4 linked regions of the Oreochromis niloticus genome follow. The protein of the gene in region 1 purifies or fractionates together with the protein of each later gene. This does not show direct contact. Links are inferred from orthologs where the notes say so. Each region holds a gene or a part of one and is shown in the gene's direction. Other genes may lie near its edges.

What was found.
Region 2: the proteins of nop2 (region 1) and nifk fractionate together in Homo sapiens (co-fractionation; 3 studies listed by BioGRID, with this or other methods). This does not show direct contact. The link is inferred for Oreochromis niloticus from reciprocal best matches to the Homo sapiens genes NOP2 and NIFK.
Region 3: the proteins of nop2 (region 1) and nip7 purify together in Homo sapiens (affinity purification with mass spectrometry; 3 studies listed by BioGRID and IntAct, with this or other methods). This does not show direct contact. The link is inferred for Oreochromis niloticus from reciprocal best matches to the Homo sapiens genes NOP2 and NIP7.
Region 4: the proteins of nop2 (region 1) and rrs1 fractionate together in Homo sapiens (co-fractionation; 3 studies listed by BioGRID and IntAct, with this or other methods). This does not show direct contact. The link is inferred for Oreochromis niloticus from reciprocal best matches to the Homo sapiens genes NOP2 and RRS1.

What each region holds. Positions count from the first base shown.
Region 1 is NC_031976.2:23,055,821-23,063,106, forward strand, and holds the start of nop2 (28S rRNA (cytosine(4447)-C(5))-methyltransferase), read left to right. Parts: upstream 1-4,275; 5' UTR 4,276-4,429; intron 4,430-5,294; 5' UTR 5,295-5,316; coding exon 5,317-5,422; intron 5,423-5,517; coding exon 5,518-5,560; intron 5,561-5,639; coding exon 5,640-5,704; intron 5,705-6,730; coding exon 6,731-7,095; intron 7,096-7,286. Other genes in the region: histone H1, read left to right, coding at 1-422; emg1 (ribosomal RNA small subunit methyltransferase NEP1), read right to left, coding at 1,967-2,080, 2,182-2,387, 2,549-2,690, 3,683-3,784, 3,931-4,080. UniProt on the Homo sapiens protein: S-adenosyl-L-methionine-dependent methyltransferase that specifically methylates the C(5) position of cytosine 4447 in 28S rRNA. Required for efficient rRNA processing and 60S ribosomal subunit biogenesis.
Region 2 is NC_031987.2:8,321,712-8,328,780, forward strand, and holds the start of nifk (MKI67 FHA domain-interacting nucleolar phosphoprotein), read left to right. Parts: upstream 1-4,046; 5' UTR 4,047-4,162; coding exon 4,163-4,285; intron 4,286-4,896; coding exon 4,897-5,025; intron 5,026-5,565; exon of another isoform or gene 5,566-5,696; intron 5,697-5,770; coding exon 5,771-5,879; intron 5,880-5,990; coding exon 5,991-6,202; intron 6,203-7,069. Other genes in the region: high affinity cGMP-specific 3',5'-cyclic phosphodiesterase 9A, read right to left, coding at 824-911.
Region 3 is NC_031965.2:26,934,781-26,941,997, forward strand, and holds nip7 (60S ribosome subunit biogenesis protein NIP7 homolog), read left to right. Parts: upstream 1-4,489; 5' UTR 4,490-4,575; coding exon 4,576-4,631; intron 4,632-4,754; coding exon 4,755-4,841; intron 4,842-4,921; coding exon 4,922-5,060; intron 5,061-5,856; coding exon 5,857-5,997; exon of another isoform or gene 5,998-6,090; intron 6,091-6,197; exon of another isoform or gene 6,198-6,261; coding exon 6,262-6,381; 3' UTR 6,382-6,709; downstream 6,710-7,217. Other genes in the region: cdc42se2 (CDC42 small effector protein 2), read right to left, coding at 79-180, 2,084-2,137; telomeric repeat-binding factor 2, read right to left, coding at 7,090-7,217.
Region 4 is NC_031974.2:19,369,857-19,376,265, forward strand, and holds rrs1 (ribosome biogenesis regulatory protein homolog), read left to right. Parts: upstream 1-4,583; 5' UTR 4,584-4,617; coding exon 4,618-5,652; 3' UTR 5,653-5,908; downstream 5,909-6,409. UniProt on the Homo sapiens protein: Involved in ribosomal large subunit assembly. May regulate the localization of the 5S RNP/5S ribonucleoprotein particle to the nucleolus.

The sequences.
Region 1 (7,286 bases):
CCCCCAAAGGAGCAGAGAACCAAAAGAGACGAGTGTTAAAGCCAAACCAAACCAAACCAAAGAGCAAATCACACCAAACAAGGGCAACACCTCGAAAAGTTAGATCACCCAATCGAAAACGCAAGCGTCGCAGAATGGCGGTCACATCGCACAAACTAGCACGCAAAACTCGCAAAGCAGCAGCCAAATCACACAAACAAAGAAGGAAGACAACCAAAGGAAGAAAATCACCAAAACCTGCTGGCAAGAAACGCAGACCTGCAACGAACAGGGGCGCACGAGTTCGAAAGGCACCGAGGAAGGCTCAAAAGACTCGGAGACGCCGACCAAACCGAGTCCAAAATCGGCATAAAAAGCAAGCAAGACGGAGGCTTCCAAAATCAAAGTTGAGATCGAGGAAAAGCACTTACTACTACCACTAGGCTGAGTCTTCATGGTAAACAGTAATAAACAGAACCCGTTTTTAGCATCCTGAAATACACTTAGTTCTATGTTGTCTTTGTGTTCCTATATCATTTTTTCTTCACTTCACTGTACAGACCATAGATCGCATAAAAGATCGACACAGTTTTTTAGACACTAGTTCTGAAAACTGAAGCTTCGGTGGAAACTTGCCTTTCTTTTAAATGCTCCTTGGGGGGCGATACCTGTGGTTGCAAAAAGATTGTGTATTGAGGTCAGACAGACATGTGATCATTAACCATGTGATTGCCATTTTAAATGGGTGATAATGTAGGATCAAGTGAATAAGGCTTCAGTCACACGAGCCTAGAGACAGCCTGTATCTACCTGGCAACCACCAGTTGTGAGGGAAAAATGAGTATTCCCTAACCTATTATGAGTGGTTGTTGGAGGTTGATGGGCAGTCTCTGGGGAATTGATTGCTGAAGTCCCAGACACACAAGCCTAAAGGCTGTCAGTGATCTCCCTGGCAATCACCTGTTGTTAGGGAAAAAGGTATATTTCCAGCATAAACCTCCTTGTGAATGCTTTGATCAGCAGCACATTTTTGCAGTTTGAATGGAAGTGATGAACTTATTAACTTCAAAGTAAAACTTTCACCCTTTGAAATACGTTGGCTGCAGCACTGAGGCTGAACTTTATTTTGAAGGCAAACATTCGCCATTTCGTGTTGCATTTTTTCAAGTTTTACTACCGCTAGACTAGTAGTTGGCAAGTGCTGGCAGATAAAAACTGCAGGCAACCGTGGCAATCTGCTAGTAACCAAACCAAAGTGCTTTTAGTGCAGCACCTTCTCTGCAACTGATTTTATCCTGGGAGAGCCAGCAACCTCCAGAAACCACTGTCAGCCAGTTGGAGAATACACATTTCCCTAGCAACCAAGTGATTATATGACACCCAATATGGACTCTCAAAGCATTGTGCACATGATGTCACTTGAAAAACCTCACTAGAAGACAATTGCAAAACAGCTCTTGGACTTGACCTCTGAATACTATCTTGATGAGTTTATGGGCTGAGTCATGAGACTTGGGTCATGTTGAATAAAATGTTATGTCCGTTTGTCAAACTGTGATCATCATATCGTGGTTTCACAGTCAATTCTGTCTCTCTCTCTCTCATTACATCATCTTGGTGCTTCAAAGCAGGACTTTATGAGTGGATGACATCACAGTAGCGATGTCCATCTTTTAGTTTATGGTTGTCTATGTGTGAACTCTTTAACTTTGTACAAATCAAGAGCACTCATTATTTAGTCACACATTTTAATGTAACTACAACAATCCATAATCAAAACTGTGCAATTGATACCGGTATAAAAATAACTGCCATGCTTCTGCATGGAAAAGGAAACAATGTATCTTCCACACATCATGCCATCGATTACGTATAACAGGATTGAACATTGGGCATCATTGGACATTCAGTCCAGTGTTTCTAGTCCACTGAAATAAGGTCCATGTAGTCAACTGTCTCTTTCCAGTCAGCATCAGCACTTTATCCATCACAGAACGCCCCACACCTCCTCAAAGGCAGAGGATATCTTGGCACAGGTCAGTGCTGCAGATAGGGGGTAGTTACTGATGGACACTGTCTTCTCTGTGTAGTCCACGTTAACCTAATAAGGACAGAGACATCAGTAACACACAAGAACTATTTGACATAACTGTAACAGACTAAAAGAGTCTGTAAAAGAGAATGCCTCAATATATTTCTCACCGCTCCATGTGCGAATGCTCCAATCACCACTGCGGCTGGTCCCTCTGGTACCAAAGTCCGTGGGCACACGGCCTCTCCCGAAGAGAAGGAGGTGCTGATACGAGGGCAGCCAGGAGGTAGGTGATTAGACACTGGATTTTTAATCATCCTCAGGAGCTTCTGAGGACCATCAGCAGCCCTGACACTGAGTTTGTGCAGCAGCTGAACTAAGAAAGTAAAGAGAAGAAAGAAGAATTAGGAGAACAGCAATGGAGTGAAGGCTCACTTAAAGCCAGAACACATGGGAATAAGACTCTTAAGTACAATGCCTACAGCATGATCAGTATGTGTATTATCCATGCAGAAAAAAAGAACAGTTATAGTTTACCCATAAGGCCACAGAAGCGTGTGAATGTTCTTGGGATGCGGGTCTGCGGGTTGATCTCGATTAAAGCGTTTTTCTCTGTGTGGATGTAAACCTGCAACAGCCCCGCCCTGTTCAACGGACTGTCCATCAGCATGAGCAAACACTGGAAATACACAGTTCAAAGTTAAAACCATTTATACAGCCCTTCATCACAAACATGCCACAAAGAGCTTTATATAAATAAACACAGACATAAAGGATAAATAATTCATTCATTTTTATTTCAATTTAATTTTACAATTTAGTTTCAGATTGCCTGCAAAGTATTTTGTTTCATTTTTCAGTTTCCTTATGAAGTGTTTGTCAGGCCAAGATATAAGAAGTTCAGAGTAGGTATTACAATACAAACAAAAGGCAACTGACTCACAATTATGTACATATCCCGGTCTCAATAAAATGCGCACAAAAGCCGCTCATGTCTGTTGTCCTACTTTTATTTTTGTTAGTTTTGTAATTACACACATTTTGGTTGTTTTGTTCCTAAAGTACTTCTTACACTACTTAATATTATTCTTACACTACTTAGTACTTTTTATTCATACTATACTGTTATATATGTGCAATATTCAGATTAGTAAAATATTACTGATGCGGTGGTGTCAAAAGTCAGCTAATGAAACTCTCTGCATCACATATTCAACATCCTTTGTCTAATGTATCCACTATCTGTTCTCCGGTACAAATTTGTAAACCTTCCCTTTTATTCTCATTGCTATCCTTCTGTCACAAATAACCCATCACGCTCATCTCCACCCACCCCACTGTGTCTGCACACTCTTCCTCACCTCTGTGGTGTGCTGCTACCTATTGCTTTGGTTGACCCAAGGTTTTTCAACTCATCCACCTTCACTCCCTCTATTCCTTGCATCTTCTTTATTATCAGTATCATGATACTTTTGTTAATCCCAGCAACCTATTGTGATATTTCTGAATTGTGAGTTGATTCTCCTGACACCTGAAATGGACTTCTAATCATAAAATCAATAATATAATTAACTTAAATGCAATGAAACTCCACTCTGATTAACTGTGACAGACTGACAAACACAAGTGAAGAATAAGGCTGTACATTATTATTGAGGAATGAGTGTTTACCTGATGTGTGATATCTGGTCTTATTTTTCCGGGATCTCTTCCACTTTTGATGATCATATTTTTGTGTTGGTCGCAATTTAACAGCTCAAATGTTTTCCCGACCTGGAATATGATAAACAAGCCAAAAGCATGTATTAACTCGACTTAAATTAAATTATTATTAAGCATCGTCGTTGATGTCACTTCCACTAAAAACAGGTAGGGGTTGCATCAAAACAACGCGCAAAGACAGCTCCTTAGCGCCTTACCTTCACCGTCTCTAACGACGCACCCTCCAGAATAACCACCAGCCTCCTCTCCGCCATGCGGTCGTGCAGACTGCGGAGATGCTTGGCTGGTTTAGGCTCATATTCGTCCAAATGTTCAAGACCACGCTTCTTCCCATTAGCCGCCGCCATGATGCCTCCCTGTGGACTGTCGCAGGAAGTTTACGTCACTGCAAAGGTGCGCGTTCACAAGTGAGTGTATTGCACATAAAAAAATGTCATTTGTGGGGGGTTTTATGAAGCTAGCTAGATTTTGAATGTGTAATTATGTGGTAAAATCAGACAGTTTTATGTTAATAAAATAAAACGTGTTTCCTCAGCGCCCTCGTTCTGCTCGCGCCACCCTTTCGTCACTATTGTGCGCCGGATGTCACGCTACAACGTGTTGAAGGAAATTTCACGTGTAGAAATCTTCGTCGTGCATCGCTCCACAATCACATTATAATTAGTGTCTGCGGACCTTAAAGTATCCAGTTTATTGGTGAGTATTTGAAGAATCGATGCTGCGATTCGCGTTGCAGCTAAAGAGCGGTTCAGTGGCGATAAGCTTTGAGTTGTAAGGGTGTACTTTTTAAAACTGTGCGGTCAGGTAATGGCTGTGAAACTGGTCACAAGTTTTTAACGAGGCTGTTTGGTAACAGTCTGATCATACATTAATATTTAAACCGTTTAATCCCCAGGGGATGAACTGGGAGAATTAGTAATAAACTATTAATCATTTGTTATAAGCAAACAAATATTTATTACTGTTTCAACAGTAAAGAGACCCTCTCTGTATCACTACATAATTTGAACACTGCTTATAATCATAAAGAGCATAGGTTGTGTTGGAGCTGAATTTATTGTAATGATGTTGGGCGGTTTTCTTTCCCGCAGATCTCCATCCAAAAAGTTTTACTTTTTTTCTTCAGTGAAATGTCTTATTCCTGTCAAAAGCAGAGCAGCTGAGTGGCTTAAGTTTAGGTGTTCAGCTCAACTCAGTTTGTAATTAGGAGTTTTACTGAAAGGAGTGATAAGATCTAAGTGCTGTGTTCTGCTTGTAGGAAAATTGAGTGGTTAAAACTGAATTGAAGTTATATAAATAGGATTTTATCAGGCATAAATGATAATTGGGGACCCCTCAAAAAAGATGTTTTAGTCAAGGAAAAGTGAAGTAATTGGGGCATCGTTTATTCAAACATAAGAGTCAAATAAGGTAACACCAATTGATTGTGTTTACTGTATGTAGAAAACCCATAATACTGTTAATATGTAATACCGCAGCCACGCTCCTCTCTTTCACATATACTGTATTTTTAGTTTTGTCTTAGGGTTTTAAAACACTCTTGCTGTGTTTTGTTTTTCAGGCTGTCTGTGTAGAAGGAAATCATGGGTCGGAAGTTGGATCCCTCCAAGAAGTTGAAGAAAGGTCCGGGTAAAAAAGCCCGGAAGCAGCAGGGAGCAGAGACGGAGTTGGCCAAGTTTATAACTGACGGTAACTATCCCTTTCCAAGTCAAAAGTTTCTGTTTTGGAGGTTTAGTAAAACACTCTGTAAACATTGTGTTATTTTTTGTTTTTAATCTTTGCAGAGGACACTGGATCAAAACGTCTCTCAAGTAGAGCCAGAAAAAGGTAAGAGGTGGACTGAGGATGTAACATGACATAAAACAAATGTGTTTACAAGCTCCTAATTCATGTTAAAATGTTTCAGAGCTGCAAAGAGAATCCAGAGTTTGAAAAAGCCCAAAGATGTTGCTGAGGAAAAGCCTAAGAAAGGTAAACAATTAACTTTTGCTCAGTCTGGTCAACACATTATTTAAATATTTGCCTAGATGCAAGCATGAGATTGTTGTTTTGATGGACCATCCTTCTCCAGTATCATTACAGCTATGTAAGCAGTTGTTTATTATTGATTATCGAGGGCAGTTATGGGAATATCGGCAAGGCATATTGATCCATGGTGAACAGCCAGACTAAATGTGATTCAAAAGATTTCTATGGAAAAACAAGGATTGAAACATTTTACTTCATCCAGATTGGGGTTTCTGCGGCTCGTTGGCAGCATCTGCTGTTCGTCCTCTTGGGTCTCACAACCTGAAGGAGGGGTTCTAGTGGTTCTGTGCTATGTAGGTCAGGAGGTGGCCTTGTTGGTCTAATCCCCAGTTACTGAAACTGGTTCATTAAGTATCTCAGAATTTTGTTCATGAGTGAGGGGAGACAGGAGCAGGAGACGGGTAGAAGGATTGGTGCGTTAGCAGTTATGCAGCTGCTGTACTGGTTTACTGTGGTGTGAGCTTTGGGTAGTGACTGAAAGAATAAGATTGCTGATATAACCAGCAGAAATGAACTCCTTTTGAAGGCTGTCTGGACTCATCCTTAAAGTTCGGGTGAGGAGGTTGTGCATTCAGGAGTGGCTTTGAGTGGAGCCATTATTCCTGCACATGGAAAAAATCTAGTTGAAGTGGTTAGGGCATCTCACCAGGAAGACTCTTTGGCACCTCCTAAGTGAGTTGTTTCAAGCCCATTCCACTGGGAAGAGGTCCTGGGGCTGTCCACAGGCTTTTGAGCTTGCATCTCTCGGCTGGCTTGCTAACAGCTTGGTCCACTCGTCAGTCCACTCCCAATCCTGAATAGGATAACTGAAAGGGAATGGAGGGAGGGAGGGATGGATATTGATTATTAATGCATCTTGTATGTGCCATGATTTCAGCTCATGACATTTAAGACCCTTAAATGTCAAGGAAACAAATGAATAAATACACATATATTTACTGTTTTTTCTTTTTTTCTTTCTCCCTAAAGGGTTCACAGATGAGAACAGCAAATGGTTGAAACCGTCAAAGAGGAAGCGCAAGATTGATGAACAAGAAAGTGAGGATGACAGTGATGAACACTGGGAAGAAGATGATGATGAGGAGGAAGAGGAAGAAAAGGTAATAGAAAAGAAGGGAGGAAAAGACCAGCAGAAGAAGGGTGTAAAAGGAGTGAAAAAAGAGGAGGCCGATGATGACGACGACGATGATGATGATGATGTTGAAGGCGATGATGATGATGATGAAGGCGATGATGATGATGAAGACGACGATGATGACGATGACATGGTTGACGACTATGGTGTTCAGGATGACAGCGATGAAGCAGCAGAAGATGACAGTGATGGAGAGGATGTATGTGCTCTTTCTTACCTTTTTTACCCTTTTAAATTTTTTTTTCTTTAGTGTTATTCAGAAGCTGAAACGAAATATTCTTCCAGCCTGGAAATGTGAAGATTGAAGCCTTATTTTATTAGAAAATTTTCACTTATGAGCTACAAAATCGGGAGAGTATTCTGCTTTCAGTGGCATTAGGCCTTATTACA
Region 2 (7,069 bases), on another chromosome or scaffold:
ATTGATACAATTTCTGTGCGTTTCACTTCATATTTGTAAAGTTCTCAGTATCCAAGGTGTGATCCAAGTTTTCCAGTTGATAATCAACATCCTTTTCCTCTGGGCCATCTTCAGCACATTCAAAGCCTTTGATACTTTTAATTGTAACTTGGCAAAAACTCATTTCTATGAAAGAAGTCCTAAAGAAAGACTTTGTGTTTTATTTGATCTTTTGTTTTTAGGGGATTTGAATGCATTTTTACTACATTTTTATGTATTCTTTGTACAGATTTTGATGTCATGGTCACTGATCCAAGAGAAACAACCCGCAACCGATGTAAAGGTAAACATTTTTGACAGTGCCTCGAATCTGAGCTTCCCACTGCAGAACTGTTTAGAAAAATCAAGCACAAATTAAGTGGAACGAGTGTTTACAACTATGCAGGTACAATGTTCAGATAATTCAATATAGGAAAGTAAACTTCAACGACTAGTACAATAGAAGTTAAATGCAGTCATCTAAATTAAGTAAGAACACTGCTTGCAGTTACAGCATTGTTCTAATGAGTAAGATCTGCAGTATGTAATGTGCGTGGAGACCATGATGCCAAAGGCTGAAGCTGCTGTGAGAGGTGAGGAGCTGTCAGTGGCAGCTGTATTTGCAGCAAAGACTGCTTTGTCTTATGTTGCTCCATTTATCAAATTTGCTTTATTGATTTTAGTCACAGAAGAGTATTTCCTGAACTCTAAGCATAAGAATATTCCACTTTAATTCATTTGTCCAAAACAACACGTTAGAATGCATTTGATCATATGAAACATAAACTTCAGCTTTGGCTCCTACCTTTGACGTCCTGAGTCGGACAGTCGACCGGGAACTCCGCCTGCTCCGGTCTCCCGTTCACCGTGAAGTAGATGACTTTTGTTTCCATGTCATGAATCTAAACCCACTGATGCTGCTGTGTGCACTGCTGAACTGGCTCTGATGTCTATCTCCTCTCCACTCCACCCCCTCTCCACCTCCTCCTAAGCTCCTCCTCCTTCCCTGCCTTTGACTCCAACATTTCTCCGAGCAACAGCCAACTGTATTCACCTGAAATTTAGATTTTTATAACAATTACAAAGGTTATGATGGTGTTTTTTAAGTGATTACAGTAGTGGTTCTCAAATTGTGGGTGACAAATTAAGGGCACAGAGGTGAACATGGTGTACAAGAAAGAGAGAATGGTCTTTATAGAGCCAAACTGAGAATGAGATAACCAATGAGAGTGTTTTTGGCTGTGATTTAAGTGCTGTAGCGAACCTGCTGTTTAGTGCACGTTGTTGCTTTTTAACTCAAAGGGTCAAAGTTGAACTCGACCTCAGAGTGAGTTACGGTTTCTCTGGAGACAATACTTTTAAATCTGACTGAAGTAATATAAAGCTTACATGTGATCAGATATCAGCTTTTTGCGGCTCATTTGTTAGGGCACATGTTCAGCCTTTACAGGGTTCCCCTATGCTGTGATGCTGTGTACATACAGTAGTAGTCACATGCTATGAAACAGTATTAAGATCATGTTAAGAATTTTATAGAAGGTATAGGAGCCATGGCAGTCCTTTGGTTTGAAACAACAACCACAATCTCCACATTTAGACTTTTTTTTTCTCAAAATACTAATTAAATTTAATGTCGAAATTTCAACTTTAATCCTAAAATGGCCATTTTTTTTTCTAAATGTGAAAACTTTTATATGTGTTTATTTTTGTTTGTTGTTTAAAATTTGACTTTTATATATTTTTAGTTCAGAGTTTTGTATTTTTGCTTTTATTCTCCACAGTTTTAAGTTTTCTTTCATTTTCATTTCAATATATTTCATTTTTATGTATTTATTTATTTATTGCATTTGTTTTCAAATTTATTCAAATTTTCAGTTTTTGCACAAATGTGTTTTTCTTTCCTTGAAATATTTATCTTTTTTGTAATTTAAGACTTTGCACCAAAATGTATGAAACCTTATAAAATAAAATATGATGCTTACACAATTACTTTTTTCAGTTTTACACATTTTTATTATTTCCATTCTTAGGATTGGTGTTTGAAGCAGGAATTTTTATCATAATTAAAATTGTTATGAGATGTTTCTTATGAATAGAAATGTAGTGGTTCTCAAACTTTAGAGGTAAAGATGCATACAGCCAGGTGAGACATAAGAAGTGATAATCATATAAGAAAATGTGATGTTGATTTCCCCCCAAATATAGCTTATACTACTACTACTAATAATTATCATCATCATTAGTAGTAGTAGTAGTATCAGCTATAATAATAATAATGATAATAATAATAATAATGATAATAATAATAATTATTATTATTATTATGAGAAAATTTTGATGATAATTATCATCATCATTAGTAGTAGTATCAGCTATATTTGGGGGAAATCAACATGTATTTGTAAGCGCTTTACACTACATTCAGTCATTCACACACAGGTGATGGCAAGCTACATTGTAGCCACAGCTGCCCTGGGGCGCACTGACAGAGGCGAGGCTGCCAGACACTGGCGCCACCGGGCACCACCACCAGTAGGCAACGGGTGAAGTGTCTTGCACAAGGACACAACGACCGAGACTGTCGGAGCCGGGGCTCGAACTGGCAACCTTCCGATTACAAGACGAACTGCCAACTCTTGAGCCACGATCGCCCCTGTAAGAAGAAGAAGAAGAAGAAGAAGAAGAAGAAGAATACACTAAAAAAAAAAAGATTTAGCTGAAAATTCTGACTTTAATCCAATTACTTGCAAAGTTTTCCATTTTTTTTGTTAAATAAATACAAAGTAAAATGTTGAATTTAAATGAATATGGTCAAATTAAATGTAGTTGATTGGTATACAAATATACCAGGAAAATTTTCCCTCTTTCCCTTCGTTGCCTCAAGGCAACACTGTGCAGTTAGCCTATTTTTTTTCAGGCAATATAATGCATTTGAATATGTGTGTAGAGATGTGTTTGTGTGCATTTATATGATCATAGTCAATGTTTTTTACTTTACAATCTTCTTATAATTACAAGACATGGATGTAAAAACCATTTATGGAAGGAAACCAAGGGAATGAGCACTTTCTGTCCTCAGAAAGTGAGGACAGTGAGCTTTCAGGGAGTGACAGTGAAGTAGAGGAGTGGATCCCTGAATCAGGTTTGAGAGACACTTAGGAGCTCAGGGGTCAGTTGGTAAAGTAACTGTGTCTGTGTGTGTGTTAGTGTGTGTGTGTGTGTGGTCGTGTATTACTTATTGTTGTGTGGACACAAATTTGTTTACACACTCACATTGTGAGGTCTTGCCTACTTTATGGGGACAAATAGCAAGGTAAATCATTCAATTTTAGGGTGAAGGCTTGAGTCAGGGTTAGGGTAAGGTTCAGGCAGGGACTTGTGATGGGTAGGGTCAGGATAAGTCTCCAGGAAATGAATGTAAGTTAATGTAATGTCCCCAAAAGTGATGGAAATACAACATGTGTGTGTGTGTGTGCATGGGGTTAGGGTCAAATGTTGGATGTATTTTGGTGTTTTATTGTTCTGTGAAATGTTTACATTGTTTTTTTGTTGTTTATTTATTTGTTCATCCTTGTTGTACTAATAAAACTTATTATAGAATAACTTGGTGTTTGACTACCCTTGTCACACAGTGTTGCCTTGAACTTGAAGCAACAAACCAATATCTGTTTGGGGGGGGGGCAGGGTGTCAAATTTTATGATTGATATATTATTAGGGACCCTAAAGCTCCCCCAAAATAGGGAGAAATATTTTTTTCCCAAAAAATTAAAAAGTCATGCAGTAGAGGGTTAAATATTCTTAAAGAGGAACAATAATAATAAATAAACCTTTGTTTTTTTTAATTTCACTTTCCTTTAATTAAAACATTGCTTCATTTTTACTGAGTTTTTTTTCTCTTTCTTTTTTGAGCGTGAAAATAGTTAATGTAGACGAAACCGACTAACAAACTCACCTCCGCGCCTGTAGGTGTCGCTGCACAGAGCGCGGAGCTGCAGACGTGACGCGTTTCTCCGTCACTCGTTGGTGTTCAGCGCATGTGCAGCCGGATGTGGGTCATTATCAGCAGCAGCATCGTGGTTTTTGGACGGCTAAGTGAGTGTTTGTCTCAGTTTATGTGGCGTTTGTAGCTTCCAGCAGCGAAAAATGAGTGAAAGTGGCGCCGAAGCGGCTCCTGCTGCGGCCAAAGAGCTGCTGGCGCTGAATCCTGCACAGGAGTCCGAGTTCAGGAAGAAGGTTCAGGAGGTGAAGAAGAAGAAATCAGGCAAGGTGGGTGAAACATGTGGCCCTGAAGGAGACCCGATAGTCTGCAGTTATTTTCCTCCTGTTTACTGTCGCTGACTTTACTCTCAGACTGCTGATGTCTCTCTCTGTAGTCTGTGTTTAACTCAGGTTCAGGTGCCGTCAAACCTTTATAGGCTCGTGGTCGTTACTCTGTCAGTCGGCCCACGTGCAGCATATTTACTCAGGTTTACAGATGTAAGGCAGGCCCGTTTTTTTAAAAAAAAAAGAAGAAAAAATGACATCCTGTCTCAAATTATTAAGTTTACGGACTGAGAGAAAGATTAATTTTATTATAGTAAAGAAATGGAGAGAACTGGCCCCAAAGAAATGTGACCAAACTGAATGTAAACTGATATTTAAACAAGAAAATCTGTAAATGAGGTGAACATCTGTATGTTTAATATATATAAATTGTATTTATTTTGTACTTTTATTTTGTAGACTTTTTAAAAGCCGGTCTGGGAAAAATAAATCTTTATAGTATCGCATTTTGTTTTTCGTAATTTAGTCTGTGCATTATATCGTATTACAATCTGATCACAGGTGAAGGCCCAGTTCTCTGTGTAATGTCGTGATCTGTCTTTTCCCCATCACAGGCGAACCGCCTGACCCCAGGAGTGATTTACGTCAGCCACTTGCCCCGAAACCTGGTGGAGCCTCAGCTCAAATCTTACTTCGGTCAGTTTGGGAAGATCCTGCGGCTGCGGCTGTCCCGCAGTAAGAAGGTAACCCTGAACATGTGGAAACAAACGTGTGAATGTGTGAGGCGCAATCAGAATCTTCAACTGCATCTGTAAAACTTTCACAGCTCCTGCAGTGATGTATCACTTCCTTCAAACTTCACTTGGAGTCTTTTTTTTTTTTTTTTTTTTTTTTTTTTTTTTGGATAAAACTTTAGAGTCACTGAGAGGCTGATTTTAGACTGTGTGGTTTGAGGCCTCATAGCCAGAACAGAAACTTCCAGATAAAAATCTTGGGTATAACTCACCAGAAAAGGAGCCCACATGTTGCATCAAAGCAAAAAATGACCTTTGAACTATAACTTGGTAAAAAGTTGCATGGATTTGTCTCCTGAAAGCAGTAACAAAGTAATAAAACTGACTCCCAACAGCTCCGTGTTCAGCAGGAGCAGTTGAGGAACTTCTTGATCGCCATTCTTGAAACCAGCACACTCTCTGCAAACATTTAGATTCCTTTATTTTGGTTTAAGAAGTCCAGGCAGGAGCCTGTTTGAAGCTCCACTTCTTAAAATCTGGAGTTTTGGCTGAGACTGAAAATGATCTCAGATGTAAAAGTCGTCTGAGGTCAGATAACTGAGCCTAGAGTACTCTGGTACATTAAGCTTATCACCTGCTCTGCCTGTTATCAGAGTGATAAAACCCATGTGCCAACAAACACTGGAGGGAATGAAAACATCTGGAGGGCAGAATCTGTGACTGTCACTTTATTCCTCTCTCTGTTTGTTTGCAGACTGGTAACAGCAAAGGTTACGCTTTCATCGAGTTTGACTGCGATGAAGTGGCGAAGATTGTTGCAGAGACGATGAATAATTACCTGATGGGAGAGAGACTTATCAAATGTAAGTCAGAGTTCACCTTTTAGATCCTGATTCACAGGAAGTTTTCCTGTAAAGGTCGTAGTTCCTAGCTGATGTTTATTTAAATTTATAAAAAAAAATGTTTTCTCCCAGGTCAGGTGTTTCCTCCCGAGAAGGTGCACGAGAAGCTGTTTGTTGGCTCGGAGCGAGGGTTCAAAAAGCCGACGTATCCCGCAGTAACGCGTTACAACAAGAAGCACACGGAGGAGGAAATTGCAAAAATGACCGGCAAGCTGCTGCGCAAAGAGTCAAGGCTCCGAAAGAGGATCGCCGCATACGGCATCGAGTACGAATTCCCCGGATTCGTAAGTGTTTACACGCTGGAGCGGAAACTTTAAACGGGTTTAGGTTTTAAAAATTGGAAGTGTGCCGTGACATGGCAGCATATTTAAAGGCGTCTGATTTAATTAATGGATTTCTTGCAACTAAATTCCAAACAGCGTGCAGCTGTGATCTGTTCAGAAGCTTCAGTTTTTACAAAAAAGGATTTTCAGAGAATTACAGGCTGATAACAGCAATTTGGAATATTGCTGATTCCATATAAATTCAACTGAATCTGGAAAAACGTTCCCACCTGTCCCCCTGAAAATCATCTGGTTATTTACAGAAACTTTAGATTATTTAATGAAGCCATGCACACTTTTACCCTCATGCTTTCTTACGAGTCATTCCCTGCAGGAATCTCCCCACTTCAAATATAAATGCCACAAACTAAACTCATGGTTGTTTGTAGCTTTAGAAAAAAGGCTTTCAAAATATGAAATCCTGTGATGTGCTGCGATTTAAGCCTGCGGGCTGCTGGGACTTGCAGTAGAAACCCTGCACAATAAACAGTGAAAACTATGATCAGTGTCTTCATACTCTTTATTCTGTCTGAGCAACAGTCCAGAAAGTCAAAGCAGATTCTCTTTAACCTCAGGCCTCAGATACTGTGTGCAGTCCAGGACCGTTAGACTGTTAGATCGGTGTCAACTCGGCTTGGTTGACTCTGTGGATTCTTTTAAAAAACAGTTAAAAACTTTTCTGTTCAAACAAGCCTTTTGTTGATCTATGTATTTTATATATATATTTTTTTACATTATTTATATTTGATCTTTTACATTGTGTATAATGTCTATTGATTTTATTGTTTATTTTAATATTTGTGTACAGCGCTTTGACTGTCTGTGAAA
Region 3 (7,217 bases), on another chromosome or scaffold:
TATAGAAATATATAAATGTTAGCTGGCTGAAAACACGTTTGAAAATTCAGTGAAAACAAACAAACAAAAACAACTTACTGATGCCAAACCCAGGCCCATGTCCCCTGAGCCTACATGTGTGGTATGAACAAAGTTTGTCGGCTCCCCAATCATGGAGCGATCGATCCTTCGCCGCCGTTTCTGAAAAGTATCATAAATGTTCATTTAAATATTAATATCACAAGTAGACTTGCCATACTTCACACATTAAAGCAAATACTACTATCACTGAGAACTGAGAAGAGCATGTGTGAGCCAGAACCTAAACACTTATCAGTTTACTTTCTAAACCTTTGTTTGAAATATAGTGGATCTGCACTGATAAAAACCAATAACTTGAGTTATCTTATCTGTTAGCAAATAGCTCACTACCAAAGTAATAAAGTTTTACTGAATCTGTTTTGTCAATCCAGTGTTACTAAACTTACGTGGGGAAACTTACAGGGAAACGTTTTGAATTTCTATAATGGACACTGATTAATCACACTCAGTCCAGGCTGGAAAAACTAAACCTATGTGAATACTTCACTGTAAAGATTCTCAAACTATTCTGTGGGCAAACAAGACAAATGTGGACAAACAAAAAAGAAAACAAACCTGCCAAAATGTGGAGTGCTATGTTTAGAGGGAAACAAAAGAGTACTGGCAAGCCGACATAAAACACCATCCATAAAAACATGGTGCAGAAAGTACAGTGGGATTTATGGTCGAGCAGAGTGAGCGTGTTAGCTGTCCACTTCGCTCCAGGGCCTGACTGTCTGTGCTACAAACAGTCTGGACAACTGTGGCTCATGTTGTTTTTGGTCTATGAGCCAAACACGAAGGAGAACGAGGTTATAAAACACAAAAGCTGAAGTGAAACCGAGTATTAAAAACAATGAAAACTGTCACTGCAGTCACTTTCTGTGCTTTTCATACATTATTTTTTGATCTTTGAAGTTTTTGCGCGGTTCTCCTATTCCCATTGAACTCTGCTACTGCTCCCTGCTCTTTTCTGGCCCACTTATCAACCAATCAACATTTGGCAGTCGCATACGTCATATGATTCCAGCGAGACGCAGTCAGGATCTTGGAGGACTGCACAGCAGTGCTTCTCGCGTGGGTGAAAACTGGTTTCCCCTCTCTGACTGAAAATTGTATGCAGAGGGACATATTTGCGAGGCTATAAATCCCGCTTATCTTGAGCTGCTTTTATAGCTCAGGTGCACGACAATTCACATTCACAAAGGCAGCAATAAATTCATAACTGCATTACAAAACGTTACAGAATGATATCTGGGCAGCAGTCCTTGACCAAAAAGTCATGACAGATCGTGTGACAGCACACAAGTAAATAAACAAGAGGGTTTTTTCTTGGTTTGTTTTTTTTAAATGAAAAAACAAACAAACTAGGTTTTGTAGTCTGGGTCTAAAACCAATTTAGATACTGTGGCGTGACCTAGATAGCTTCAATGTTAAGTCAAGATATCCCAGATATAGCAGATATAATAACAAATAGTTTTTCCAGTGAGGAATGATCCAAATTCCCTCCCAATCACTGTGCCCGTCTTATGAGCAGCTACAAGAAACTTCTGATTGAAGTTTTTGTTTCTAAAGTAGATTCTAAACTCAGAAGTTAATTTAAATTTTAAAACCTTACATGAGAACAATTACTTGGGGAGTTTAATTCAGACAGGAAATGTACAAAGGTCTATAGTCCGCATGTTTTTGTCATTAACTCTGAATTAGCTGAGCAGTAAACCACATATGACGAGTAATCGATACATTACTCATGATCATTCCAAAGGACTCAACAACTTAGTATTGCCGCGGCAGGACAGGGGTTATTATTGTGACGTCAAACAGTTCCCTATTATAACCAGACTGTCAGACTGTCTGTCTGCCAACAGATGACCTTTGGCAAATATATTTAAAGTGTTTTTTGCCAGCATGTGTTTAACTGGATGAATGCTACTTTGTTAATCTATATTCAAATTAAAAACTTTTAAAAAACAAGGCAGCTTAAATTAAATAAATCACTTCTTCTTGCAAATTTCATACTCACAGGCTGTGGCTGCTCTGCAATGCAGCAACTGAAACAAACCCAGAACTCAGTCATTCTGAGGGCAACGAAGAAGCCGCAGCAGTTTCCTCTCTCTGTTCAGACGTCTCTACGCCCGTCTTCCTGTTCCGTGTTACCAGAGCCACAAACACACGCCGGAAACTGATGACAGACACAGGCCAGTGGCTTCTTGGGGGTAAACCGTTGGCACGAAATGTCTTGTCCCACTTCAGAGCACCACACACCTGCTGACACGTTAACAAATTAAAGGAAAATAAAAAACAAATCTCAATCAATTGCTGATATATTTTGATGTGTATCAGCAGGTTTCGGCTGCTCATGTTCCCCATAGCTAATAGTTCCCTGGCTTTACTTTTACGAGAAGCGACTTTTGATTGAAAACAATATTTAAAAATTCCTTTCTTGGAAGCTTGCCAAGGTTATTTTTAATCATACGAGTAAACGACTGTCAGACACACATACTACATATGAGGCATAGTGAAACATTTACGTCAGAAGGTTAAAAACAGAAAGCTAACCAAATACGTTCACCATATTCAAATGTTAACTTCTCTTGTAACAAGTCTTAAGAAAAAGAAATGGGGCCAGAGTGTGGCCTCTATTTCAACAAGCTGCCCAGGGGGCTCACTGTCACTTTCTCTTTTGTGGTTAATCTCCGGTGGTAAATAACTTACTACCTGAATCTAACAAACAGCCAGTGTTTCAGTTTTCACAAGGCTGTTATTAGCTCCGACACCTTGATAAGTTTTCCATTTTAATTAACATCTCTGTGGACTTGAAGCCGTCTAGAGGCTTATTTCACTAATAGGACAGCAGCACAGAAAATGTGGAGCACCATTTGGGAAAAAAAATAAAAAAAATAAATAAAACTGCCTTCATTGTACTGTACTTGTTCAAAATATACTCAATTCTATAATGAAGGAAATAAATTTGATTTTGGAAGCACACTGTGGCCATCAATTTGGTGTTGGATGACATTTTGTATTTCAAGATATCAGTATGGTGAATGTTGCTATACTGACAAATCCTAGGAAAAGAATACAAGTAATTTTAAAAGGGATAAATGCTGTAAAAAACTTGTGGGATTATCACTAATCTACTAATTTGTTTACAAGGATTAAAGAAAATGCAGTTAAACATATATGATCCACAAAGTTATTATAGTCAATTAAAATTGGGCGTATATTTAAGTTTAAATTACCTAAAATAATCTTAAAATCGTCATCATCAGTCTTTGCCGAATTTAGTCAAGTGTGTCAACACAACTAGGGTGGGGAGGCGTTGTGTTTTGGATGACTCTCTCAATGTGAGCCAACTCCCTTTACAGAGTGTTGTGTTTGTATTGCAACTCCTGTCCAAATATCAGCCACAAAAGACTAAACTAATACTCAAAATAATTAATACCAAACATAAAAACAATTAAAAAAAAATACACTGAAAAGAGTAAACAAGTCGAACAAAACGATTAAAAAACAAACAAAATAAACCCCAAAAAACTGGTGGATATAATCAAACAGTGTTACCACATATTTCGAAATGTCAATCGTGAGTGCCTTTTTTTTTTTGGTCGATGCCTCAGAAAAACACAGTAGAAGGCCTTCTGGCTGCCAAACAAGAGGTGACAGGAGGATCAAATGATCTGCCAAAAGCGAAGTGCTCGCTGACAGAGTGCATTTCCCAGTCTGTAACACTGACTCTGCAGCTGACGCTATACACCGCTGACACTCAACTGAATCCTATTATCAAGACGTAAAATGAGCGCAGACGTGTTTAATGATGATTTTAACCACATCTGACATCCTTTAAGGATCACCAACTCTGCCAGTGATCTTGGATTACTGGAACCTAATCGGTATTTACAAACAAATGAGCGTTATGTAACTTCGCCCCGCTGCGGCAAAGACGCTTTACATGACCAGTCTGAACACAGCTCGCAGCTGAGTGCAGTTCAACACATGTACTGCTGCTGTGCCGGGGCGTCGGCGTTGATTAGAAATGAACTGCTTTAGTAAATCGGAGTGTTAGCTCTATCACATGCTAATACAGCTAGCTCTCCAGCTAACGTTCACGGGCTCGATGATAGCCGCGGGTCTGTGTTTTTTTCCACTGACAGCTAGCTCTCGGAGCTAACTCAGCCCATTTTCGGAAGCTGTGACTTCAGTTGTTAAATTAAAACAAAAGCTTAAACAACTGCTGGTTTTCGCAATTAGAACCAACTATTCTTTCAAGCTTTCTTTGTGAATTGTAATTATTTTGTATGAGAAAACTTACCAGATGGCGACCGGTTTACCGGAGGAAAAAAAACACGTCCGTCCGACTGAACCCTAAAGGAGGCAAAAAACCAGGAACTGTGATCACTGTTACGTCATACAACTTCCGTTTTAAAGCATTACTGCTTCCGCGTAGACCCACGTTTTTTTCTCACAGAAGTTACGTTTGTCCGTTGCTAATATTAAGGATTTATAGTAGTAAATATGAGGCCGCTAACAGAAGAAGAGACCAAAACGATGTTTGAGAAGTTATCTAAATAGTGAGTGAACAGTTTCTGCGCCGTGTTAGCCTGTAAAGGTTCAAATTATACCAACACGTTCAGTAAGCCCGTTAGCTCACGCTATGAGTGTGTGTGTGATCCATGTGTTTTCTCTTGTAACAGCATTGGTGAAAACATAAAACTTCTAGTGGACCGACCAGACGGCGTTTACTGTTTCAGGCTGCACCATGACAGAGTCTACTACATGAGGTAATTTTGGTTAATTAACACGCATTTTGGGTACCTGTCAGTACATGAAAGGATTAAGACGTTTGGTTTTCTGTCCACAGTGAGAAAATTCTAAAGCTGGCCACCAACTTTTCCCGGGACAAACTCATGTCAGTGGGTACGTGTTTTGGGAAGTTTACAAAGACCAAGAAGTTCCGCCTGCACATCACAGCCCTGGATTTCCTTGCTCCATATGCAAAGGTGACTATAAGCAACACACAGCCAAGTCATTCCCTCCCACCAATATACCAAGCGGAGCTTAAATAAGATGGAGGAAACGAAACAATACGGGTATTATTAAAGTCCTCTATAGTAGAGGCTCATTCTGAATTATGCCACTAGATCATCTTCCAGAAGGGTTTTTGAAAAGATTACAGGAAAATTGTAAAGTTGTGGAGTGAGTATAACCAGCTTTTAGGATCAGTGACACATGACGGGTAGAAATTGTTTTTCACCTGTATAAACAGCTGTTTGCTATACAAGTGGAGAATCAGAATATTCAATCAGAAATAAAATCATTGTTCATAGCTGGGAAACACTGGGCATAATTTGCCGGCTCATGTGTATTTGTGTGCTATTACAGGTTTATTGCATGAAAAATGGTGCTGTACAAAAGTTGGTTTATAAACAGGCTGTTATTTAATTTTTTCCATCTCATTTCATCAGGCTTAACATGCACTATAAAAATAATCTTTTTTCAACAAATGGAAGTTCATATGTGAGAAGATGCGTATCTGTGGATACATCTGCCCATTTCACATCTTAGCTACATGGATACTTTAACTGAATGTATTTTTTTTTTTTGCTTTTTGAAGACCCTAAAATTGCGAGAACCTGTATTAAGTCATTGATAAATATTATGAGAACAAGTGAGAAGTAGCTGTATGTGTGCTTAGAAATTCCATGCTTTCTCTCAATTGTTCAAGCTTTTCATCTGTGCTGTCATATTGGACTCATTCATTCATGTATGAATAACTTGAAACTATCATGTATTCAGTTTAAGGTGTGGGTGAAACCTGGAACAGAGCAGTCTTTCCTGTATGGGAACCACGTGCTAAAATCTGGTCTTGGCAGAATTACTGAGAACACTATGCAGTATCAGGGAGTTGTGGTTTACTCCATGGCAGATGTGCCTCTGGTAAGTCCTTTAAAGGTTGCTCTTCTTGTCACACTGTTATGGACAGTATTCACAGTACAACAAAGATACATATTCCTGCTGGTAACACTCATGCTGGAAAACAAAGCACATATTATGCAGATGTTTTGTTTTCCTCAGTGCCGTGTATTCACAATAGGGTATTGGATAGATCCACTCATGTACTAAAAAGAGGTTAATACCTGATTAACTCAAGGTTATATGACAAAAGGCACTTATAGGCTGGCTGTTTGTCTTAATCTGCAGGGTTTTGGTGTGGCGGCCAAGTCTACGCAGGAGTGTCGGCGAGTGGACCCCATGTCTATTGTTGTGTTCCACCAGGCTGATGTGGGCGAGTTCATAAGAAATGAGGAAACATTAACATAAAGATGCAGAAACAAGTGGACTGTCAAACTGTTTATTTTTAACAGTAACACTCACTCAAAGTCAAATGTTCAGCTTTTAGCTGCTAAATATTTTATAGTGACATGATCTGATCAACGTTCCTACTTCAAGAGCAGCTGTTATACCTGGAACACTTCCCTACAGTTCAGAACTAAAACAAAAAACATGTCTATTGACTCACTTCTGCCATTTGCAGAATTTCCTGGTTTGTCCCCTCCCTGTTGTATTAAATGAGAAGGGTTTTGTTTTTGTGTGTATGTTTTTTGTAACTTGAATCTTGAAATAAATCCACATCTCTGTATCATTTAAATTAAAATTTTTACAAATATTTTGTGTGGGAGGAAAAAGGTACCTGTCGATCTTAGCTATATGGATATTTGGCAGCTTTCATATCTTTAATTAAAGGTCTGTTCTGCTTTTCTGAGATCATAAGACTGAGAGAACATACTTTTAAAGCTATTCCCATCTCTGTATCAATTCAACGAGTGTGTTTGTTATTTAGGGCTGCAGAGATGCTACAATAGTCACTATTACTGCAATTTCTGTTATCAACAAAAGAAACAATCTTTGAACCACAAACATTTAATATTTACTAAATTGTAAAGTGGGTTTTAAAATGACCAGTAACTTGTTAAGGAAACCAAAACAAATAAATGGAGATGGGGATAAAATGACATAGGCTTTGGTGAGTCAGACGATATTTGATTTTTTCATTGTTCTCCACCTGTCCTTCAGGTTGACATTTGTTCGATCTTTGAAGTTGTAATATGCCTTTATCTTACTCCAGTTGCCCTCTCCAAATTTTTTGACCCCATCTT
Region 4 (6,409 bases), on another chromosome or scaffold:
CAAGATGAAAGAAGTCGCCCAACAAGCAGGTATATGAGATTTTAGCTATACTGGTGAATTACTGCCCTTGGAATTAAAATACATCTTATCATGGCGAGTTTGGTCAGGTCAGCCAAAAATGATTATTTTAATTTGTACCTGAGGTGATGTGAGGCAAAGCCGTTTAAATTAATGAGTGAAACATTTTAGGTTTAAAAAGTTCCAGGTGGCCATTGAGGAGGGGGTTGTAATGAGTATATAACCTCTAATTGTAGACCAGGAAAAAAATATTTATTTATCAGTTATTCTTTTTTGTTTAGTTTTTCCTTATTTATCTTCTTCCTGATTTTATGGTAACAGAGTTTATTGAGAAGTTGTGTTTTCAATTTAAGGAGCTTGGAAATACAGTGCCTGGACTTCTTAAGGTTTCTTGAAGACGTTTCCCCTCTCATCCAGGTTTCTACACAGACATAGTCTATGAAGGGTTAATGGAGATTAAAGATCAGATGCAGGTGCTAAAATCAAATGCCACCTGTGGGCAACATGGTTTTATTCTGTATTCTTACATTTTGGGGACGCAAAGGGGGTGGAGGGCGTCAGTTGGTCTCAGGATCTCGCCTTCGCTTTTTGTCTCTGATGTGCTGCAGCTGGCTTGATTGAGCCATGACGTCCAGCTCATACTGGGGCGGTTTGCAGCCGAGTGCGAAGCTGTTGGGATGAAAATTAGTACCTCCAAGTCTGAGGGCGGAAAAAGAGTGGAGTACCCACTCTGGGTAAGGAACAAGTGGAGCGGTTTAGTATCATGAGATCTTGTTCATGAGTGAGGGGAGAGCTGCAACGATGTGGATGCTGAACCGGTGAACATGAAAGTAAAACTGTCAGTTTAGTGGTTGATCTATATTCATACCCTCACTTATGCCCACAAGACACAATCAGCAGAAAAAAGCTTCCTTCAGAGGGTGTCTGGACTCTCCCCTAAAGATGGGATGCAGAGCTCAGTCATTCAGCAGAAACAGCCATTAATCCTTCGCATCCAAAGGAGCCAGCTGAGTTGTTTTGGACTGGGATGTCTCCTGGACACCTCTTGGGTGAGGTGTTTTGGGGATGCCCTATTGAGAAGAAACCTTGTTTGCATCTCTCGGCTGCCTTGGTGTCCCCCTGAATGAACTAGAAGGAGGTGGTTGGGGAGAGGGAGGTCTTCTCTGCTTCTCCGCAACCCTGATCCAGACTCGGATAAGTGGGAGTGGATGAACAGATTAATGGATGAATGGATGGCCATTCTAACAGTATTTTTGTTTTATTATGACAATATTGAGGTTCATCCCACAGTCTAAAAAAATCAGAATAGAAAATGGAAGATACGACTTTGATATAATTTTGAGATCAGCGGCTCATCATGCACGTTCTGTTGATCAATTTAACCAAATTGACAAATGCTTAAATTTTAAATATTTCTCATGTATTTCTATTTTATTTTAGCTTGTTTTGTAAGTACATTGCCTTCAAAGGTTTGGCATTACGTACACAGATCTGTGTTTTTGAACAAACAACACATTTGCATTTATTTAAAATAACAATAAATTGATCATAAATTATGCAAGTGACTATTAATGATTCATTGAATTATTCATCCTTATTGATTTTTCATCAAGTATCCATTTTCAGGAGCCATCACTCAAGTGTTCCTCAGCCATATTGTGTTCCCTGATGTTAAAAGAATAATAACAACTTTTCCATTTGTGTTAGCACTGTTAAAGTTTCCTCTATCCAAGGTCTGTATTTTTAAAAATTTTAATATTTAGCGTTTATTGGCTTTGCGTCTCTGTCTTGAAGGCCAGCATTATGAGGTCGCCTCTTCACGGCTGATATTGAGTGTGGTGTTTTGTGGGTACCTTTAGTCACGATTTGCGAGGGCAGATTGCGTGGAGAGGAGAGTGGACCAAAAGCAGACAAACAGCGAGATAGGTGGATGTTTAACAGACAGCGAGCCTTTATTCTTGGCTGCAGGAAAATACTACAAAACAACTAGCGAAGGGGAACTGAGAAAAACATAAGCACATGAGATACACAGAAAACACAATATAGAAACCTGGAGAAACCCCGGGACTTGGAAACACGAGAAGTGAAGCAGTGGATGATGAGCAGACGATCCGACAAGAACAAAGGAAAATACACACAATAAAGACAGAGGGTAACGAAGGTGACAGAAGGGAGACACAGCTGAACCTAATCTGACACATAAGACAAAGAGGAAGCAAAGCGGCACAGGCGGTTGACTGGTTGGCGGTGTGGTGTGTTGCGGCAGCCGCAAGGCAGTTGAGCGGCTGGCGGTATGGCGTGGTAGCTGTAGGCGGTTGAGCGTTTGGTGGAGCAGTGTGGCAGCTATAGGCGCTTGAGCAGTTGGCGGCGCAGCAGCTGCAGCCGGTTGAGCGATTGGTGGCATGGCGTGGCAGCTGCAGTCAGTTGGTGGCGTGATGTGGTGTGGCATCCGCAGGTAGTTGAGTGGTTGGCTTCGCGGGAGCCGCAAGTGGTTAAGCGGTTGACGGCATGGCGTGGCAGCCACAGTCTGTTGGCAGTGTAGTGTGACGTGGCAGCCGCAGGCGGTTGAGCGGTTGGCAGCGTGGCGTGGCAGCCGCATGCGGTTGAGTGGTTGAGCGGTTGGTGGCGTGGCGTGGCGTGGCAGTCGCAGGCGGTTGAGCGGTTGAGCAGTTGGTGGCGTGGCATGGCGTGGCGTGGCGTGGCGTGGAAGCTGCAGGCGGTTGAGTGGGAGCGGTTGAGCAGTTGGTGGCGTTGCGTGGCGTGGCGTGGCGTGGCGTGGCAGCTGCAGGCGGTTGAGTGGTGGCTAACCTGATTCTCCTGAGTGTACAACAGACAAGGAAGGTGGCTGGACGGGCTCACCTGAGCGAGGAACAAGAGAAAACACACACAAAGACAGAGGGTAACAAAGGAATACGAGACAAAAGGGAGACACAGCTGAACTTAATCTGGCACATGAGACAGGGAGGAAGCAAAGCAGAATACTCTAACACAGGTGTGGGGATGTCAAAGTAAAGCAGGAAATACACAAATATAGGAACCAGGATAACTAGACATAATACAGAACACAGGGGAGGCACATTAACAAAACCTAAAGCCTAGGAACTAAGAATATAAAACAAGCAGAAAACAATAAAGAGAACCAAAACCATGAATAACAATAATCAAGGAATATAAATTAAACAAACACAAAACACAGGGTCACAGACCCAGTACTGTGACAACTTTTAATGAAGATGCTAGTTGTGGAGCTGCAAGGTGACTCAGAGTCGAGGTTCTGATGTAATCTGATGTTCTGCTGCTTAGCTGAGACACCAGGGTCTCCCTTCTCTTTTTCTAAGGTTAGACACCCTCCACACATGTAATTTAACAAATGCAGTGCTCAAAAACAGCAGGACAATTTTCATGTATGCTAACATAAATTAGCCCTCAATACATTTTCATTGGGTAACACAGTGTCTAACTGAAACACAGGAATGACTGCTGATAATGGACACTTTTATGCCTATGTATAGATAATCCATTAAAATCATGAATGATATACTATGAATGACTCCATTAATTTTCATTTACACCATTTCTTGTCAATTCAATGTAATTTCTATAGAAAATAAAAAAAATTTTTTATATAAAACAAGAACATTATAGAACCTCAGGTGGGTTTTTTGTTTTGTTTAAAAACACCTTTAGATTTTTTAATTTTGGAAATGTATTTATTATTAAAGGCAGATCATTTTTGTATACAGTGATGAGAAAAAGTCCATGTGCCACTTCTCATTTCTTTATATTTTGCTTGAAAAACAGGAAATTGGCAGAGCGATTTATTGAAGCATGTGCAAATATATATAAATACATGTATATACAGCATATAAGAGCAAAGATTGAGTTTGTGCTCCATTTTCAATCCATTTTTTCTATCCAGGTATGCTTTTACTGAAATGACAGTATGTTTGGTTTCATTGTCATGCTGAAAAATGAAGATGTTGCCAATTGGACAATTTCTAGATGGTGTTGCATGGTGGATCTGTATCTGATGCCACTGAGGTCACAATTCATCACTTTTGACAAGATCTCCAAGACCACTGGATGAAATGCAGCGCCAAACCATGACGGAGCCTCCACTGCGTTTTACAAATAACTGTAGACACTCACTGTCCTGCCTGCATATTGATGACAATCTGAACCAAAAATGTCATATTTGAATTCATCACTCCATCAGATCTGCTGCCACTGATTTTGAGTCTAGTTCTTGTGTAATTTGGCATACTTCAGCCTTTTCTCCCCGCTTCCCTTCCTTAAGAACAGCTTCTTGACAGCCACCCTCCCACTGAGACCATTTCTGGTGATGCTTCAGTGAACACTAAATGGATCACCTGAAGGGCCAGATCCATCTCTCGGGTCCAGTATCAGGTCTTTGTGGATTTTTCTTCCTGTCTCTTGAGGACATGACTTTCAGATACAGTCGCTGTTACGCAAAGAAATGAAACGACAGCGCTCTCCTGTGGTCACGTGTCAAACTGCAGCTCGACGACTTTGACCCGGAAGCAGTTTCGTGTGTTTTTCCTGCCTCACACGTGGGGTTTTCAGGCAGCACTGAGCAACATGGCAGCGTGCAGTGTAGAGGAGTTGTTGGCTAAAGCTGAGGCGCAAGAGGCGGAAACCCTGAAAAGCATATCAGTCCAGAAAGAGCTGGACCTGGAGTTTGACATCGGGAACCTGCTGGCGTGTGACAAAAACCGCATCGAGCCTCGCGACCTCCGGGAGAAGAGCAAAGAGGACTTTCTGCGTGCTCTCGCTCGCGACAACACGCAGCTTCTCATCAACGAAATATGGAAACAGCCCACGGAGAGGGTCGAGGAGGCGATAGTGGCCAAACTGCCGGAGCCGACGACCCGGCTGCCCAGAGAGAAGCTACCACCGAAACCCAGACCTCCAACAAAATGGGAGCAGTTCGCCAAGCTGAAGGGCATAAAGAAGAAGAAGAAGACCAACCTGGTGTGGGATGAAACCGCAAAGGAGTGGAAGAGGCGCTGGGGCTACAAGAGGGCCGGCGATGACACCAAAGAGTGGCTGATCGAGGTCCCCGAGAGCGCAGACCCGAATGAGGACCAGTTCGCCAAACGCGTCAAAGCCAAGAAGGAGAGGGTGGCCAAAAACGAGCTCAACAGGCTGAAAAACATCGCCAGATCGCAGAAAGTCAAGATCCCTGCTGTAACCCTGACCCCCAAAGCCAGCCAGTCCAAAGATGAGCTGGCCAGAGCCGAAAGTGTGGCCAAAACCTCCACAGCATCCTTGGGGAGGTTTCAGGACCGCCTGCCCAAGGAGAACCCAGCAAAGAAGGGCAAGAAGAGGAAATTCGAGCCCCTCATTGGCAACTTTTCTAATGAAAAGCAGAAGCAGCTGGAGCTCCTGAAAGTCATGGACACTAAGAAGCCCAAGTTGGACATCACCAAAGCTGTGAATAAACAGATGAGGGAGGAGGACAGAGAGGAGGCTGCTGCCAAACACAAGAAGGCAGCAGGGAAGAAGGGACGTAAAGGCAGCAGCATGGGTGGAAAGGCCAGAGGAAAAGGTGGGAAAGGAAAAGCAGCAGGAGGGGGAGGAGGGAAGAGAAGAGGCAAACCTGGGAAGCGCTGAGGACTCTTGTGTCTTCCTGTGTGTGGGTGTGTGTGTGCCTGCCTTGGCATCAAAGTGTTGGACATTCATGATGCAATATGAACTGATCACCTGGTTTACCTGTGGCCCACGGGTGGGATGCTCCCTCCATCTATGTAAACTATGTTTACTGTAAATTTTGACCCCAGCAACCATGATGTTTCTTTTCGATATATGTGTAATATTCATGAAAAAAATTCACAAATATACTTTAATATTACAGCCAAGTAGAACACGAGTGACTTGTTTTTCTGTCTTTAATTATTGCAGAAGTTATTTTTTAGTTCTGTGTGATTAAGGCTAATTTTGTTACCCTTTACATATTACTTTTTAAACTCTATATATACATTCAAAAATATTTGACTTCTAATTTTTAATTTCATTAAGTTTATATGAGTTACATAGTTTTAACGACAAAGTTTAATGTAGTTTATGTAACTTTGGGGAAAGACTTTAATAGTACTAATAAACCCAGAGTGTTTGTGCAAAACAAATTGGGATTATAAGCATTATTTGATATTTTAAATTAACTTACAATTTAAAAAAAAAAACATTCTTTAAATTGGGCTCAGGGACCCACATTTGTCTGTAGTCAGGAGGTCAAGAAATAATTTCCTATAAATCATAAAGGTTTGCTGCTGAATGATTAAAAAGTGTTACTCAAATGAAGATTTTCACGTGATTGTGGCTAATCATGTCAAACTAATGAGCTCACTCTTTTCTGTCAGGGTGCATCAAC